Linked DNA regions of Oryctolagus cuniculus. The protein of the gene in region 1 interacts with the protein of each later gene in a pairwise test. Links are inferred from orthologs where the notes say so. Each region holds a gene or a part of one and is shown in the gene's direction. Other genes may lie near its edges. The genes, in order: VASP, TRIM9, ABI2 and ZYX.

What was found.
Region 2: the proteins of VASP (region 1) and TRIM9 interact in binary tests that used the Homo sapiens proteins (3 or more experiments, as listed by UniProt). The two-hybrid records come from large-scale screens. The link is inferred for Oryctolagus cuniculus from reciprocal best matches to the Homo sapiens genes VASP and TRIM9.
Region 3: the proteins of VASP (region 1) and ABI2 interact in binary tests that used the Homo sapiens proteins (3 or more experiments, as listed by UniProt). The link is inferred for Oryctolagus cuniculus from reciprocal best matches to the Homo sapiens genes VASP and ABI2.
Region 4: the proteins of VASP (region 1) and ZYX interact in binary tests that used the Homo sapiens proteins (3 or more experiments, as listed by UniProt). The link is inferred for Oryctolagus cuniculus from reciprocal best matches to the Homo sapiens genes VASP and ZYX.

Annotation. Positions count from the first base shown.
Region 1 is NC_091449.1:11,377,382-11,381,239, reverse strand, and holds the end of VASP (vasodilator-stimulated phosphoprotein), read left to right. Parts: intron 1-160; coding exon 161-245; intron 246-544; coding exon 545-585; intron 586-686; coding exon 687-901; intron 902-1,016; coding exon 1,017-1,117; intron 1,118-1,477; coding exon 1,478-1,529; intron 1,530-1,601; coding exon 1,602-1,638; intron 1,639-1,758; coding exon 1,759-1,804; intron 1,805-1,906; coding exon 1,907-1,997; intron 1,998-2,391; coding exon 2,392-2,449; intron 2,450-2,578; coding exon 2,579-2,616; 3' UTR 2,617-3,392; downstream 3,393-3,858. UniProt on the Homo sapiens protein: Ena/VASP proteins are actin-associated proteins involved in a range of processes dependent on cytoskeleton remodeling and cell polarity such as axon guidance, lamellipodial and filopodial dynamics, platelet activation and cell migration.
Region 2 is NC_091443.1:25,168,423-25,172,280, forward strand, and holds part of TRIM9 (E3 ubiquitin-protein ligase TRIM9), read left to right. Parts: intron 1-526; coding exon 527-649; intron 650-3,858. UniProt on the Homo sapiens protein: E3 ubiquitin-protein ligase which ubiquitinates itself in cooperation with an E2 enzyme UBE2D2/UBC4 and serves as a targeting signal for proteasomal degradation.
Region 3 is NC_091434.1:36,683,115-36,686,972, reverse strand, and holds part of ABI2 (abl interactor 2), read left to right. Parts: intron 1-1,796; coding exon 1,797-1,973; intron 1,974-3,428; coding exon 3,429-3,446; intron 3,447-3,858. UniProt on the Homo sapiens protein: Regulator of actin cytoskeleton dynamics underlying cell motility and adhesion. Functions as a component of the WAVE complex, which activates actin nucleating machinery Arp2/3 to drive lamellipodia formation.
Region 4 is NC_091434.1:180,377,989-180,382,440, reverse strand, and holds the start of ZYX (zyxin), read left to right. Parts: upstream 1-1,446; 5' UTR 1,447-1,476; coding exon 1,477-1,638; intron 1,639-1,768; coding exon 1,769-1,991; intron 1,992-2,476; coding exon 2,477-2,676; intron 2,677-2,833; coding exon 2,834-2,926; intron 2,927-3,039; coding exon 3,040-3,582; intron 3,583-4,452. UniProt on the Homo sapiens protein: Adhesion plaque protein. Binds alpha-actinin and the CRP protein. Important for targeting TES and ENA/VASP family members to focal adhesions and for the formation of actin-rich structures.

The DNA of each region.
Region 1 (3,858 bases):
TCCCCGGGCGTCCTGGCCGCCCTGGCAGGGGGAGTGGTGTCGCCCCTGCCCAGGGTCTGGGGGAGGAAGGAAGTGAGTGCCCCTGGGTGGGATTCCTGAGCCGGGTGGGGGAGGCCACAGGCAAGGCTGACCCCGGCTCTGTCTCCCCTGCCACCCCCAGGAGGTGGGCCTCCGCCGCCCCCAGCACCTGCCGCGTGGGCCAGCCAGAACGGCCCCTCCCCGGAAGAGGTGGAGCAGCACAAAAGGTAGGGCTGGCCCCTTGGCTGGGGGCCCTTACTGCCAGATTCTAGATGTCCCAGCATCCTCCGACGTCCAGTTTCCAGAATGTTCCAACTCCCCAGGGACTAGGAGTTGCCCGCTTTTGGGAGCCCCCACCTCTGAGACTTTAAGAAAATCCCTGGCGCTCAGAGACGCAGGACCCCCAGTCCCCAAACCCTCGTCCTGAGAGGACCCCGGGTGTCGGTGACAGTCTAGAACATTCCCGCGCCACCCCTTGGGCCCTGCGGAGGGGCCGGGGCGGTGGTGACCGCAGTCCCCCCCACAGGCAGCAGCCGGAGCAGATGGAGCGCCGCGTGTGCAACGCAGGTAACTGGGCTTGCGGGGGTGGGGGGCGGGCCGAGCCCAGAGCCCCCCCTGGAGGAGGGGCTGGCTCCTCTCTGAGCCACCCCTGCTCTGCCTTGTTTCAGGAGGCCCGCCTGCTCCCCCAGCCGGGGGCCCACCCCCGCCTCCAGGACCGCCCCCTCCGCCGGGTCCCCCCCCACCCCCAGGGCTGCCCCCGGCAGGGGGGGGCCCACCCCCTGCACCCCCTCTCCCCACAGCCCAGGGCCCCAGTGGTGGGGGGACTGGAGCCCCCGGCCTGGCCGCAGCCATTGCTGGAGCCAAACTCAGGAAAGTCAGCAAGGTGAGGGGCCCGCGGGGGGGGGGGGGGGGGCTGGCCCTGAGGTAACAATGGGCTGGGGGCTGCCTGTCACGGGAGGCCCACCCGCAAGCCCTCTGCTCCCTTTTACCGTCCTCAGCAAGAGGAAGTCTCAGGGGGGCCCCCGGGCCCCAAAGCTGAGAGTGGCCGGAGCACAGGCGGGGGGCTCATGGAGGAGATGAACGCCATGTTGGCCCGGAGGTGAGCCTGGGCCCACCCCCCTGCCTGGGACCCCAGCCCTGCAGGCTGGCGGGGGGGCGGGGGCGGGGGGCGGGCTCTGGTTCCTGTTTGCTGCTTGTGCTGAAAGCCCTACCTGTGGCGCCTGCGGAATGTTCTAGAAACTGACTCCTAGGATTTTAGTTCCCAGAGTCCCTTCCCCCCTTAGGACGTTAGGGTTCCAGATGTGAGGGCCACAGGAAGACCCCCCCCCATCCCAGCTTCCTTAGCCTTGGCCGTGCAGCCCCCCCCCCCCCCACACACAAGGGCCACTTTCTAGAACCCTGGGCCCGCAGCTGCGAGTGGGGGGGCTGAGGCTTCTCTTCTCGTCCCTCCCTCCCGCAGGAGGAAAGCCTCGCAGGTTGGCGAGAAGCCCCCCAAGGACGAATCTGCCAGTGTGAGTGAGGGGCTCGGTGGGGTCCCGGGGCAGCGTGGCGGGGCTGCTCATGACGGTTTCATTTCCTGCCAGCAGGAGGAGCCAGAGGCCCGCGTCCCGGTCCACAGCGGTGAGTGCCGGGCGGCCCGGGGGAGGGGCGGGCCTCTCCTGGGGGTTTCTCTGCAGAGGGGCTGCTGGCTGGGGGAGGAATCCTTTGCCCTGACCTTGCGGTTTGTTGCCTGCTCCCCAGAATCTGTGCGGAGGCCCTGGGAGAAGAACAGCACGACCTTGCCCAGGTGGGCCGGCGGGCGCGGCGGGCGCAGCGGGCGCGGGGGGCGCGGCGGGCGCGGCGCCTCCGCGGGTGGCAGGGCCTCTGACTTCGCTTCTGTCCCCCCCAGGATGAAGTCCTCGTCTTCGGTGGCCACCCCCGAGGCCCACCCCTCCCACCACAGCTCCGGTGACGACTCGGACCTGGAGCGGGTGAAACAGGTAGGGGTGGAAGGTGCAGGTGGGGGCCTAGCCAGGGCCCACGGCAGGAGGGGCGCTGGGTCCAGACCCTGGGTGTCCGGTCTGAGAAGGGGGAGCCATCGGCGGGGTCAGGGATGACGCAGGTGCCGCACCCCTTTCAACGGCTGTGACAGGCCTTATAATCCATCACCACACTCCTTTCCGATGAGCACCTGAGACCCCGCCGGAGCTGGCAGGAGGCTGGGAGGCGTTTGCCAGCCTGTGTCCTGGATGCCCTCCAGTTCTCTCTGTGACCTTGGCAGGGAGGGCGGGGCCGGGCGGTCTCCAGCCCGCTTCCTCCGACTCTCAGCGAGTGGGAGACAGGGGGCTTCCTGCCGCTCCGGGCCCCGCCCACTGGTGAACCCTGTGGTTCCAGGAGCTGCTGGAGGAGGTGAGGAAGGAGCTGCGGAAGGTGAAAGAGGAGATCATCGAAGGTGAGGCGCCTGCCCGCGCCCCGCCCCGTGAGGCGCCTGTGTGGTTTGGAGGCCGCCTGTCTTTTGGGAAGATTGGAACGGAAGGGGAAAGAGCCCCTGCCCTGAGCTTTGCCCCCTCTTTCCTTCCAGCCTTTGTCCAGGAGCTGAGGAAGCGGGGCTCCCCCTGACCGCAGGGGCCCACTTCTTTCCGCACACCCCGCCTGTTACCCTGCTTCCCTGCCTCGACTCCACGTGGAATTGGCTGAAGACTACACGGGAATGCATCTCCCCCTGCCCCCTCCCACTTGGAAGATTCCAAGGGGGTGTGGCTTCCCTGCACCGTGCCCACACCCGTACTGGCTGCTGATTGGCTGGGGAGGCCCCCACCCTTTGCTCCCTTTGGTCCTTCCCCTCTGCCATCCCCTTGGGGCTGGTTCCTCTGCTGGGGATGTACCATTAACCCCACAGTAAGGGGGAAGGGAAGAGGGAATTCACATTCCCTTGTTTAGATTCACTTTAACGCTTAATGCCTTCGAAGTTTTGTTTTTTAAGAAGTATATAAATATATATATATATTTGGGTTTTGGGGGGGAAGGGTACTTTTTTTTGCCTCTTTGGTTTTGATAACATGGGGTGTGGGGGTTTTTAATGCTGTGGCCCTCGGCGTGCCCTGGTTGGGGCAGCTGCCGGGGGACGTCCTGTCGGGCTGGGGTGCCGCCCCCACCCCGGGGACTTCCCTCCCTCTGGCTCCTTCCCCTTTTCTATGAGGAATTAAGATGCTGTAACTTTTTGGAACCTCAGTTTTTTGGTTTTGTATTTGGGTAGGTGGGGCCCTGGCCATTTTCACCCACCTTGGGAAGATGAGGGCGAAACAGGGGGGAGGCGGCCTCTGCCCCCACCTCCCCCTCAGCCTCATAAAATGGGCCCCCGTGGAATAAATCTGCCGGTTTTTACAAATGCTAAACTCTCTGGGTGATTGGCAGGGCTGCTGTGAGGGGCCGGAGGCCGGCTCCGTCCTCCATGCCTCTCCCTCACGCACGGATGGACGGACGCTGGGTTCTCTGCTGGAACCCCTCGTGGTCCCTGGCCAGGCCGCTCCCCTGCCCCGTCCCCTTCATGCCGGAGACAGCCAGGGCAGGTCCCTGGGTCCATGCAGGGCTGCGGTTTCCCCACTGGGCAAACGCTCCGGGGTCAACCCTGTCCCCGCTCCCCCAGAGTTCCCCAACACCCGACCCACTCTGCAGGTGGACGCCACCGTCTCAGACATGTTCCCAAGATGACCTGTTTCCCCCGGAGCTGCTTCAATGACGGACACAGAGTCTGGCAAGGCAGTTCAGAGGTCCCAGAGCTCACGCGCGCCCCAGTGGGGAGGCAGGACTGCCCGTCCGGGTGACGGGTGGGCGGGCTCCCTGGAGGGGCCTTGGCAGGAA
Region 2 (3,858 bases), on another chromosome or scaffold:
TTTTAGAAATAAAAATTTCATGCCCAGCATTTAATTTAGACATTCTGGGGATGCTAGCGCTGAGTTAGTATAGGCACCTTTCCTCCCGCAAGCTGTGGGTCCGTGAATGGTTTTCAGAGCATGCTCACCGTACTGGCACAAACTCTGGTTGTTCGGAACTGCCATGCCCCTTCCTTCCCGGTGCTTGCTGACTGCCACGTGCCACTAGGTGTGGCGGAGCCTGTCTAGCGCCACAAACCAAGGCTTCATTGAGCTTAACATCTTCCAGACCGTGTAGATGGCTTCCTTTTGATTAAAAAAAAAAGACTTAGATGATAAATATTTGTCATTTTCCATCTAAATTTCAAACAAAAACTCTGCCACTCTAGAGCGAAGCTCGCCCAGTTGTGTTTTATGAACACACAGAGTTCTTGTTCATTCCCCTCAGCAGGGGTCTCTGTGCCATGCATGGACAGGGAGGCTCCTGCTCCCCTGGTAGCCGGGGGGCCCCGTGCCCTGCAGCTGAGAAATGCCCTCTCTCACGCAGGAGAACAGTGTGGAGTTCGAGGCCTGCCTGGTGGCCCAGTGTGACGCCCTCATCGATGCCCTCAACAGAAGGAAGGCGCAGCTGCTGGCCCGCGTCAACAAGGAGCACGAACACAAGCTGAAGGTGAGCACTGGGCCCGCCCTGCAGACAGCAGGGACCGAGGAGCCAGCGGTCACGACGGAAGAAAGGGCTGGATGCCCGCAGCCTTGGGTGGCCGGTGGCCTGGCCAGATGGGAGAAGGCACAGCCCTCCGTTCACTACTTCATGTCTACATGTTTACCTAGCCAATGTCAGTTGAGTAAAACTGCTCTGGGTGCAGGAAAAATAAACAAATCAAAATCGCTGCCTTTGTGGGGCTTCTATTCTGTCAGGAGAGAGACACAGTAAGCACGAGAATTAAGCCAGACGTGCAGTGTTAGCAAACGTTGCTAAATAAGCAAAAGAAGACAGGAAAGGGGGATGATGAGCCTTGAGGTGGGGGTTGAAATTTTAGATGGGGTGGCCACAAAGAGTCAGAAATGTGTTTGTGAGTAAGGAAATGGAATCTTTAGAATCTAAACAAACAAGCTTTGTCTTAGCTTCTGAAGGGAACCTTAATATTGGACAGCTGGATAGACTTTTGTCACCACACAGTGGAATTGACTGAATACCAGTCTGGGGCCCGATTGGCAGGACTGGTTTCCCTGGAGACACGTGATGTCCCATTTGTTACCCTGTGAGAGCAGGGCAAGAAGATGTGAGAAGATGTGGGTAGGCAAATGGGAAGAGCCAGGCAGAAGGGAGTCCAGCAGTGGGCAGTCAGCTGAGGCCTGCCCGCACAAGCCTCAGGGTGACTCACAGTGGGCGGACGGTGGGGAGAGGGGAGTGTGCAGTGTTGGCCTGGGGCTGTGTGTTGAGGTCAGGCAGTCAGCATCCAGCTGCTTCAGTAGTAGGCGACAGTGAGTAGGGACAGCCTCCAGAGAGCTGATGACAAGTGACAGCACAGTGTCAGGTTAGCAGTAGGCGCTAGTCCCTAGAGATCAAGAGAAGGCCCCATGTCTAAAGAGTGAGGTTCCTGTAGGTGAACCAAGGAGGAGTTTCAAGAATGAAGAAACAAAGGAACACAGCTTACAAATGTCAGGGGGTAAAGCTTGGTGGCTGACATCCTTTGAGTTGGCTTAGTACCTACATAGTGCCTACAGGCAAGACCTGTGGTAGGCAAACTGGCAATGCCGAGCTCCGAGCAGCAGAGCACCCCTTCGTCGTAGGCCCCTGAGTCTCACTTAGCTCTGCTGTGAAGACAGCATCCAGGCAGCGTGAGAGAAGCGTTTGCCCAGAGAAGCTTCAGAGCTCACTCCCAAGATAAACAGAACCCCAGCTGTAGCTTCCCCCTCTGCGTATCCCTCCTCTGCTCCCCACCTGCAGCTCTTCAAAACACATTCAGACCCACACATCTGCTCCCTCCTGTCCCAGCGCCAGGGCAAGCGTGTGGTAGGGACATAAACCTTTCTTCCCCGCCTTTGTGAATTACCATGGAGAAGAGGGGACGGTGGAAATGAGGCAGGCAGAAGGGGACCGGGCGGGCCTGAACCTCCAGCCGGGGTCGGGGCTGTGTCCCAGTGTGTTCCTGACAGCAACAGCACGATTTTATCAAGGAGAGGTGCAGCAGATTGTTTAATACAGACAACTGCGTGTCTTGAAGCTGGACTCTAACCATGAGGAAGGAAAGAAAAGCACCCCAGGGCTGCAATGTTCAAGGGACCGTAACCTGTTGGTCTGGCAGGAAACAAAGGCTGGCAGTGCTAACGGCTCCTTCCAGGGTGGCTGTTGATGTTTCCCGATGGAGGGCCTGACCAACAGACCCTCCCAGCTGGATCTTAGAATGAACTCGAGCCCAGCCTTATGGAACCTTCGAGCTGGAGCTAAAGCTAATAATAAGGCCTGGGACTCTCCGAGGGTGGCTCCCTCTGTAGCTTGTGTCATGCATAGTCCATAAAGTGCCCAGTGATGGGGACTTTTACCTACGTGGCTTTCTTTTAGTTCATCGTTTTCCAGGCCCCTGTCTCCTAAAGCTGTGATCAGGTTATTTGTTTTTGAATTCCCCAAAGAGATACTGAGCTATGATTCATGGCAGCATATGTGGTAACTCCTGAAATGTGGGGGAAGACGTGGGGGCAGTCTTACGGATACTTTTTTACCCAAAGAGTTCTGAAAGTTTTGCCGTGTGGATATCCATCTTACAGATTTACTTTGCAACCATCTGGAAAAGGGTTCTGTTCCATAAGCGTTTTCATCCAAGTTAAGTTAGGTCTGGGTGAAAAAAATTTTTTTCTAGAATCACTGTTTCTTATCTGGATTAAAATCAGAAATATGGTTCTCTAGTCACCCAATCTGCAATACTGAATGAGCATCCTTGGTGACCCAGTCCTGGCTTTCATAATGACAGGGCCGGCACTGTGGCATAGCAGGTAAAGCCGCCGCTTGCACTGCTGGCATTCCATGTGAGCTCCACTTTGAGTCCAGGCTGCTCTGCTTTCGACCCAGCTCCCTGCTAATGTGCCCAAGAGGGTGGCCTCTGCATCTATGGCTCCCGGCTCCCGGCTCCCGGCTCCTGGCTTCTGGCTCCTGGCTCCTGGCTCCTGGCTTCGGCCTGGGCCAGCCCTCTTTGTTGCAACCATTTGGGGAGTGAACTAGCAGAACCAATGGATGGAAGATCTCTTTCTCTCTCTTTCTCTTCCTCTCTCTCTGTGATTCTGCCTTTCAAATAAATAAATAAATCTTTTTCTAAAATAATGGCAATAGCTACACTTTGAGAACACTTTCTATGAAGGAATGTCATACAGATCGTGTTGTGGGGATCTTCTCTGTTACTGCCTACAACAGTTCTATGGTGTCATTATCACTATTATTTCTGTACTGGAAGTGAGGAAGCTACAGCACCATGGCACTCAGAACTGGTCCAAGGAACCAAAATTTGAGCCATGATAGCCTAGCTTTGGAGCCCAGAGTCCAAGGCACAGCACACTATTGCCTTTGACTGGTAGAAGTACCCTCGGAGAGAAGGCATTTCCATCCGTCAGCCATAACTCACACACACCTGTTATCATTGCCCACAAATGATGCCCACAGAGGTAGAAGGCAGGCAAGCTTCTAGGAAAGAGGTAACCAATGCCACCTCTCACAGGTTGTAAGGAGGACAATATATTACTTACAGCTAAAGAGTCACAGCACCTCATAGAAGAACTAGGCCCAAAGTAGCCCAAACTATGAGAGGTGTGTGTTGATGGCCATGGACACTCAATAGTTGAAAATTTTAAATTTTAGTTTTTTTATTTGTTTGTTTTAATTTGAGA
Region 3 (3,858 bases), on another chromosome or scaffold:
CATCCGCTGCTGCTTCCCCAGGCACATTAGCAGGGAGCTGGATTGGAAATGGAGCAGCTGGGACTTGAACTGATGCCAGTATGGATAAACCAAGGTCATTGGCAGCAGCTTAACTCCTTCAGCCACAACACCAGCCCCATATCTTTTTAATTCTGTTATCTTTCACACTTTGTGAAGGACTTCTGTGACAAACATGCTTTTGGAAATGTACTTACCTTACTGTGGTACATTCAATGTGATGTTTCTGTCTTATTTCACTTGAAATAATGAATGTTTACATGCCACTAAATTGCAAATTTCAGTTTTAAAAAATGTTTTTTAGTGTGTTAATTACCTGCATATGTGGAGAACTTCACTGTGTTTTGAAGACTGTGAGTAAAAACACAGTGTCATTCTATTGTAAATTATGTGCTATGTGAGCATTTAATAAATAGAAATTAATGAAATATTTGTTTAGTAATATTTTGTCACTAATAACTCATTTTTGATGCTGTATTTAATTTTTAGCTCTCCCATTTCTTACATAAAAAAATTTAAATAGTAACTGAAATTTATACTAATTATTTTTAAAATGTAACCAGATTAGTTATTGGGGTCCTCATAATCATATTCTGTTAAATTTTTTAAAATATATTTATTTTTATTTGCTTGAAAGGCAGAAAGAGAGAGAGAGAGAGAAAGAGAAAATGAATGAATCTTTCATTTACTGATTCACTCCCCAAGTACTTGCAAGAGCCATGAGTCTGGAACTTCATCCAGGTCTTCGGACTGGGTGGTAGGGGCCCAAGCACTGGAACTACCATTTGCTGCCCGCCAAAATGCACCAGCAGGAAGTTGGTTGAGAAGTGGAAGAGTAGGGACTCGAACTGGCACTCCGAAATAGTTGTGGGGCCCAAAAATAGCTGTGCCATATGGTTACCCTCCCTTCTCCCCCAGTTTAATGTAGAGGAAGGATTACATGCTTTAACCTGGAAGTTGGCAGTTTTTTCCTATAAAGGGACAAGCTAATGAATGCTAAGGCTTTGTGGTTCATAAAGTCTTTGTTGGGACTGCTCCTGTCTGATCTTGTAGCCAGCCATGGGGGAGTAAGCAAGTTATTTACGTCAGCGTGACTATTCCAATATTTACTTAGGGAAACTGAATTTTGAGATTCCTTCTTAAAACAATCATTTAAAATTATTCTGTTTTCTCTTACTTGAGAAACAAAGTTAGACTTTCCATCCACTAGTTCATTTTCCAAATATGCTCAACAGCCAGGGCTGTGCTAGGCCAAAGCCAGTGACCCCAGACTCCACTGGGATATGCTGTGTAGGTGGCAGGGCCTGAAGCGCCTGAGCCATCATCTGGCCCCCAGAGTGTCTGCTAGTAGAAAGCTGAACTTGGGAGACAGGACTCGAAAGCAGGCACTGCAGTCTAGGATGCATGTGTCCCAAGCAGTGTCTTAGCTGCTGTGCCAAATGCCTGACCCTGAAATTGGATTTTCATGTAATTTTCACGTCACCACATTATTTTTCTTTTGATATATTTTTTTTCCATCAAACATTAAAAAAACACAAACACTACTTTTAGCTTGTGGGATATTAAAAATCAGTTGGTGGTCAGATTTGGCCTGTGGTCTGTGGTTTTCCAACCCTCGCATTAGCCAAAAAATGGATAAAGTCAGTAGTTAAGAAAAGAGAAAATTTAACTTGCATAGTTGAGAATAGAAGCAAGCAATGTTAAATTGGGGATATTTATGAGTTTTTCTAGTTATCAGCCCTATACATTTTCTGGTTGTGTTTTTTTGTATTTTACAGACAGTTGATATTCATAAAGAGAAAGTTGCAAGAAGAGAAATTGGAATTTTGACTACCAATAAAAACACTTCAAGGACACATAAGATTATTGCTCCAGCCAACCTTGAACGGCCAGTTCGTTATATTAGAAAACCTATTGACTATACAATTCTAGATGACATTGGACATGGAGTAAAGGTAGGTATGATTTTTGTCAAGCTTTTTAAAATAGTAGCCCATACTGGAACTAACTCTTTTTAAGCTTTTATCTCTCCTTTCCTAGAGAACCAAGTCTTCACTCAGTTGTGGTTGTGAAGATTGCTTGCTGTTATAACTCTTTTATCTTTCCTTTTTTTTTTCTTAGTGCTGTACTCTCAAGTTTTAAACAGTCACCTTTGAATTGCATCTGCTTCATTATATTGCCAAATATATATTGAGTTTATGTGGTATAATCTTCTAATGATTATTGATTGATTAAAAATTACTCAACCTGTTAATAAAGTGATTATCTCATTTCAGTTTATCAGCAGACTTGGCATTAGTTTTCAGAAAAAAGATATATTAATAAATATGTACTTTGAATTTTTATAAAATTATTTTATCAGTATTTTGTATGAGAGTAGTATAGCTACCCAGCACTTTTGAGTATGTGGACATTATACATTTTGGCTGTGTTTTAAGATGTATTTGAGTGTCTGGTGTATGTATTATAATTAGTACTGAGAAACGCGAATTTCATTTTAATTGGTATTTATATTTAAACTATTCAGATCTTCGGATAAATATTAGGTTGTTCGAAGTTTACATCTGCTGATTTGAAGGACAGTGACTTATCAAATGTGACTTTGAATAAATACATGTAAATGCCTGTCATGAAACTTTACAGTTCAAACAGTTGTTTTTTTCTAATATAAGTGTAGTTAAATAAAACACCTACACCATAATGGCTGGAAATAAAATAAATCTAAATTTAATTTATATCTGACTGAAAAAACATATAATATAAATTCATTTTTAAAATCTTTTTCTCCCTCAGAGTTTAGATATAGCCATTATTATCTGGAATTTTGTATTTAATTTTATAATTGATACCTAAATGCATTCAGATTATTATCCTAACTAGAGCATGTTGAAAAAGGATGTTTAATTGGATGGTTAATTAATGGCTGGGATTTATTCTAACTTGGGAAAATTTATTCAAGGCTAACAACTGCTAATAGAGTGTTAGGGTACTGCCAGAATCTAATGCCAAGAGACAGTTTTGTGGTACAGACATCACAGTTGTGCTTGCCTGCTTCTACAGTAAGAAGATGATTCTCCTCCCTCTTTGTTTGATCCTCACAGTCAATGTTACTCTTTTAGGACTCCGTAGTCCTTTCATTGTTTGGAGTCACTAATGTGAAGAAGTCTTTAGTAAAACTAAGCTTTTGAATAAAAGAGTATCTTAAATAATTTCATCCAGGAAACTCCTGTTCATGACACATTCTGCTTTAACCACTCTTTCTATGATCTACTGAAACATTATTTTGTTAATGCTGAATGCTTAACTTGTTTTTTCGTTTTTTTTCCTTTCTCTTCACATCCTGAAGTTCCAACTAACCTTTCAATGCTTTTTTTCCTTACCTCTTTTATTTGCTCCATTTATGCATTAAGTGGTTGCTTAGATTTAAGGTAAGAGATTCCAGGGCTGGATTTCCATTCTTTGTTCTTATGTGGAATATTACATATGGGGAGTCATGAGATATTTGGCACTTGGCCTAAAACCAACAAGTAATTCCTCTTCTTTACTGTACTTTTTTTGTCTTCCAAGTTTGCGATGTGTCTTCATGTACCTTGAAGGCAGATGTTTTTGTCTGTTTTGTTCACTACTCTATCCTTTGTGCCTAAAACAGTGTCTGACATGCATTAAATACTTTGTAAATATTTGTTGAGTGAATGGTCATTTTGCAATGGTGTTACATTTTGTGAAGCAGAAATGTAATCTATCCTATCGTAAAATGTTGTATTGGAATAAAATAGCTGGATTTTTGTAACTAGAGAAATTTTGTTTTGGAATGGAGGTCTGGATAATGTGCCTCACTAA
Region 4 (4,452 bases), on another chromosome or scaffold:
GACCTCTCTCTTTGTGTTTCCCTCTCTCTGTAACTCTGCTTCTCAAATAAATAAGTCTTTTAAAAAATAATAACACTGAGGATTATATAGCACTTGCAGACATGGCATTTCATTTACTTCTGTAGAATGCAGTAAGCGGGGTGGGTGAAACACCATGGCTCTTTCACAAGTGGAGAAGGGGAAGTGGGAAGAGGCCGGCTGGCCTGGGCGTCAGGCTGGCCCTAGCATTGCTCCACCTGACGGCAGGTGCTGGAGGAAGCCGGCTGCTTCGTGGGTGTGACCGGGCCCACCCCCTCAGCGGGCAGCCTCCACTTCCCCAGCGTGAAGTAAGGGGCGAGTCTGGATGCTCTCAAAAGCATCTCCCAGATGCTCCTTGGCAGTGGGGTTCAGTCGGTTTGGAGGGCCAGGGCGGAGACACTGAGTCAACAAGAGGTCTGTTTCAGATGTCACTCAGGGCTGATGGAATGAGAGAGTGGAGAGTGGGTGGATACTGGACTAGAGGGCAAAGGCCTAGACTCCATAGCTTTGCAAGCGTGGAGTTCAGCCACTGGGTAAGTTTCCGTGCGCAATTAAAAAATAAAAAGTGGCACTCAGGTTTGGTCTCCTTGGCGTAGCCTGGGGCTGAGCAACCCGGTCGGATGAGTGGGGGCTCTACCGAGCTGTGTCGCTCGGGAGGCTCCCGAAGGCGTGGGTCGCGGCGGAGGCTCAGCTGTGGCAGGCTTGTTGCTCGCGTCCACGTCTCCCCGGGTCCTACTAGATCCTCCGGCTGCCCTGGCCAGGGCTGAGCAGCCCCCTACCTACCTCCCTCGGGCCCGCTGGTCCAGAATATCTCTGGCGCAACTGATCCGCAGCCGGGGGCGCCAGTGTTGCGAATTCCTAGAAGCCTGCAGAGGCTGCCTAGGGTTGGAAGTTACGATACCCCTAGGTCGCAAGAGGTTCAGGCTCACACAGCCACCGATCGCCGAAGGGCCTGCCAGGAGGGCGCGGGACGAGAACGGCCCTGGTCCTGGTCCTGCAGCCAGCGCTGGCCGGTGGGTTCTCGGGGCGCGGTGCTGCCGACGGCGTGGGAGGTGCAGCCGTGAGGGTGGCAGGGCCGCAGGTAACTGCAGGCCCCAGAGGAGGCGGCTGGGCCAGGGCGGAGGCGCAAGGGGGCTGCTCGCTCCGTTGCCTCGGGGGACCCTTTCGACCTCCGCCGGCTCAGCCCGGAGTGGGGCCAGTGAGTCAGATCTCCGGCACCCGCTGACGGGCGCGGAGTTGGGGGTGGGGGGGCAGGTCAGGAAATGACATCAGAGGCCTGTGCTCAGGGAGGGGTGGTCTGCGACCGGCCAGGGCTGCGAGCACGGCTGGGAGTGCGGCGGGGGCGGGCGGACCTTAGCGGAGCCCTCGGCCCAGGGCAGGATCTGGGCCCCTTCCTGGGGGAGTTTCCTGCCGCGCCCGCCCTGTCTCTCCCCGCCCCCTCTCCGGGCCGCTCCTTGTATGGTCGCGGCGCCGCTCTCTCCCCGCCCCCTGCCGCCCTCCCTCCTCTTCCCTGCGTCCCTCCCCCGCCTGGCTGGAGGCTGCTCGGGACCGGGACGCACAGTCCGCAGACCCGGCGCCGAGGCGGCCACTGGAGACGCGGCGCGCACGCTCCGGTCCGCGGTGAGGCGCGGGGCGCGGGGCTCCGGGAGGCGGCGGGTGGGGGTCGTCGGGAGGCGCTCGGGCCTCCGGGGGAGTCTCCTGCCCAGCCCAGCGCAGTTCGGCGCCGCGTAACCTGGAGACCCACCCCCAGCAGCCCGGCCAGGCCATGGCGGCCCCCCGCCCGCCTCCCGCGATCTCCGTCTCGGTCTCGGCTCCGGCGTTTTACGCCCCGCAGAAGAAGTTCGGCCCGGTGGTGGCACCGAAGCCCAAAGTAAATCCTTTCCGGCCCGGGGACGGCGAGCCTCCAGCGGCAGCCGGGGCCCAGCGCGCACAGATGGGCCGGGTGGGCGAGATCCCCCCGCCGCCCCCGGAAGGTATGCGGCAGGGCTGAGGGGCTGGACCCCCGCGGGCGGCGGGGTGGGGGCAGTGGGATTGAGCAAGGGGCGGGGGGACGCCTGCAAAGGTAGCTGCGGAGGGGGCTGGGTGCAGCCACCCTGTCCCGAGCAGATGTTCTTACCTCATCGTGGAGCTCATGGCTGGGAGCCAGGGCTCCTGGGATCGTTCCAAGTCCCCGCCTGGGGGTGGGAGGCGGGAATGTGGGCCACGAATCTTCCCCTGTGGGTCCGTTTTCCCAAGTGTAACGGGAGCCGCACCACTCCTCGGCCGTGCCCCCCCACCTCCGGCCTTTCCTGACCTGTGCCCCCCTGGGCGCCCTGCACCCCTCCTTTCCCTTCCCGCACACTCCAGGACCCCCGAGGCAGTTCTTGGGTTAGGGTTAGAGTCAGAGCTGTGGACGGAGGGCAGCTTGGGGCAGCGGTGGCGGGGCCGCTGCCGATGGCCGCTTCTCTCCCCGCCCTAGACTTTCCCTTACCCCCGCCTCCCCCACCTGGGGATGGCGACGACGCGGAGGGTGCGCTGGGAGGTGCCTTCCCCCCGCCGCCTCCCCCGATCGAGGAACCGTTCCCCCCTGCACCTTCCGAGGAGGACATCTTTCCTTCTCCACCGCCCCCGCTGGAGGATGAGGGCACGCCCGAGGCCCCCATGCCGCCCCCGCCGCAGGTATGGAGGCCTGGGGAGGGGTCAGTGCACTGGGACGCCTCAAGGAAAGGAGAGAAGGGGGCCTGCTGTGACCTGCCCCTGTACCTCTGCCCTGTTGCGGGAGGGGTGGCGTGGGAATGGGAGACGGGGATGGATGCTCTGACCCCTGATCCTGTAGCCCAGGGAGAAGGTGAGCAGCATCGACCTGGAGATCGACTCTCTGTCCTCACTGCTGGATGACATGACCAAGAATGATCCCTTCAAAGCCCGGGTAAGGGCCTGGGGAGTAGGCACCCTGAGTGCCAGGGAGGAGAGACTGGAGAAGGAAGCGTGGAGGGCAGCCCCTGCCTCTAACTTGCTTCTCTCCCTCTGCCTCTCTTGCAGGTGTCATCTGGATATGTGCCCCCTCCAGTTGCCACTCCATTCATTCCCAAGTCCAGTACTAAGCCTGCGACCGGGGGCACAGCACCCTTGCCCCCCTGGAAGGCACCTCCCAGCTCCCAGCCCGTGTCCCAGCCTCAGAGCCAAGCGCTGTTCCATGTCCAGCCCCAGGCTCAGCCCCAGGCCCAGCCCCAGACCAAGCCTCAGGTCCAGCTGCATGTGCAGCCTCAGCCCCAGGCTCATTCCCAGCCTGTGTCTTCCGCTAACGCGCAGTCCCGAGGTCCTCCAGCTCCACCTCCAGCACCAGCCCCTAAGTTTTCTCCAGTGGCTCCCAAGTTTACTCCCGTGGCTTCCAAGTTCAGCCCTGGAGCCCCCGGTGGCCCTGGGTCACAGCCCAGTCAAAAGCTGGGACCTCCGGAAGCTGCTTCTTCCACTGGCACGGGTTCCCCTCAACCCCCCAGCTTCACCTATGCTCAGCAGAAAGAGAAGCCCCGCGTGCAGGAGAAGCAGCACCCAGTGCCCCCACCTGCTCAGAAGCAAAACCAGGTGAGGGGGCGAGATAGGTCAGGGCCGAGACCAGGGTGCTGGGGGAGGGAATCACAGTGGAGGTGGCTTGGGAGAGATGGGGTGGGCATCAGTGTGGTGGGTCCATCGGTCAGACAATGGGAAGGGAGAGAGTTTCTGCAGGGGCTGGCTGGGGCGTGGCTCCAGATTTGGAATTAGAGGATTTGGTGCACATTCTCTTGCGCTTCTGCCCTGGGAGGTTAAAGGGGAGGATGACATCACCGGTCCAATGTTGGTTTTTCCCCATTCCTGGGCCTTAAGTTAATCTCGCAGCTCCTCTGGTCCTTTCACTGCCCGAGGGCCCATCTGGAGATAAGAGCCACAGCCCCAGTAAACAAAGACTGAGCCAACATCAGCTGGATGCCAGGCACTGTGTTCTGTGCTCTGGAGTCTGGGACAAGGGAGCGAAGTGATCTCCCAGAGAGGTTTGGCCTCCGGGTGTCAGATGGGGCTGGGATAGAATCCCCAGCTCCACATCTCATCTGCTGTTTGGGCAAGTTAGGTGAACTCCAAGCCCCAGTTTCCCCTTTAAAAATTAACACTACCCCATATAGTGGTTGTGAAGAGTAATTGGATGAATGCTTGCGAAGTGCTGGGTTCGGTATTACATAAATGCCCTAAATGGAAAAGCACGAGGCAAAGCGTGCCCTGCAGTTCGGATGAGATCTTGTGAGTTAAAGCGACCCTGAGGGACCTCTAATCCAAGCATCCAGAGAGTCATCTGATAGCATCCATGTCTGAGGATACTCAGGTACTGTACAGGAAGAAATGCCAGGTGCCAGTGAGATTTGCGGAATTGCACAAGTTACAGGAACTCAGAACAGGGAGCCAGCCTGGGGCTGGCAAGTTAGG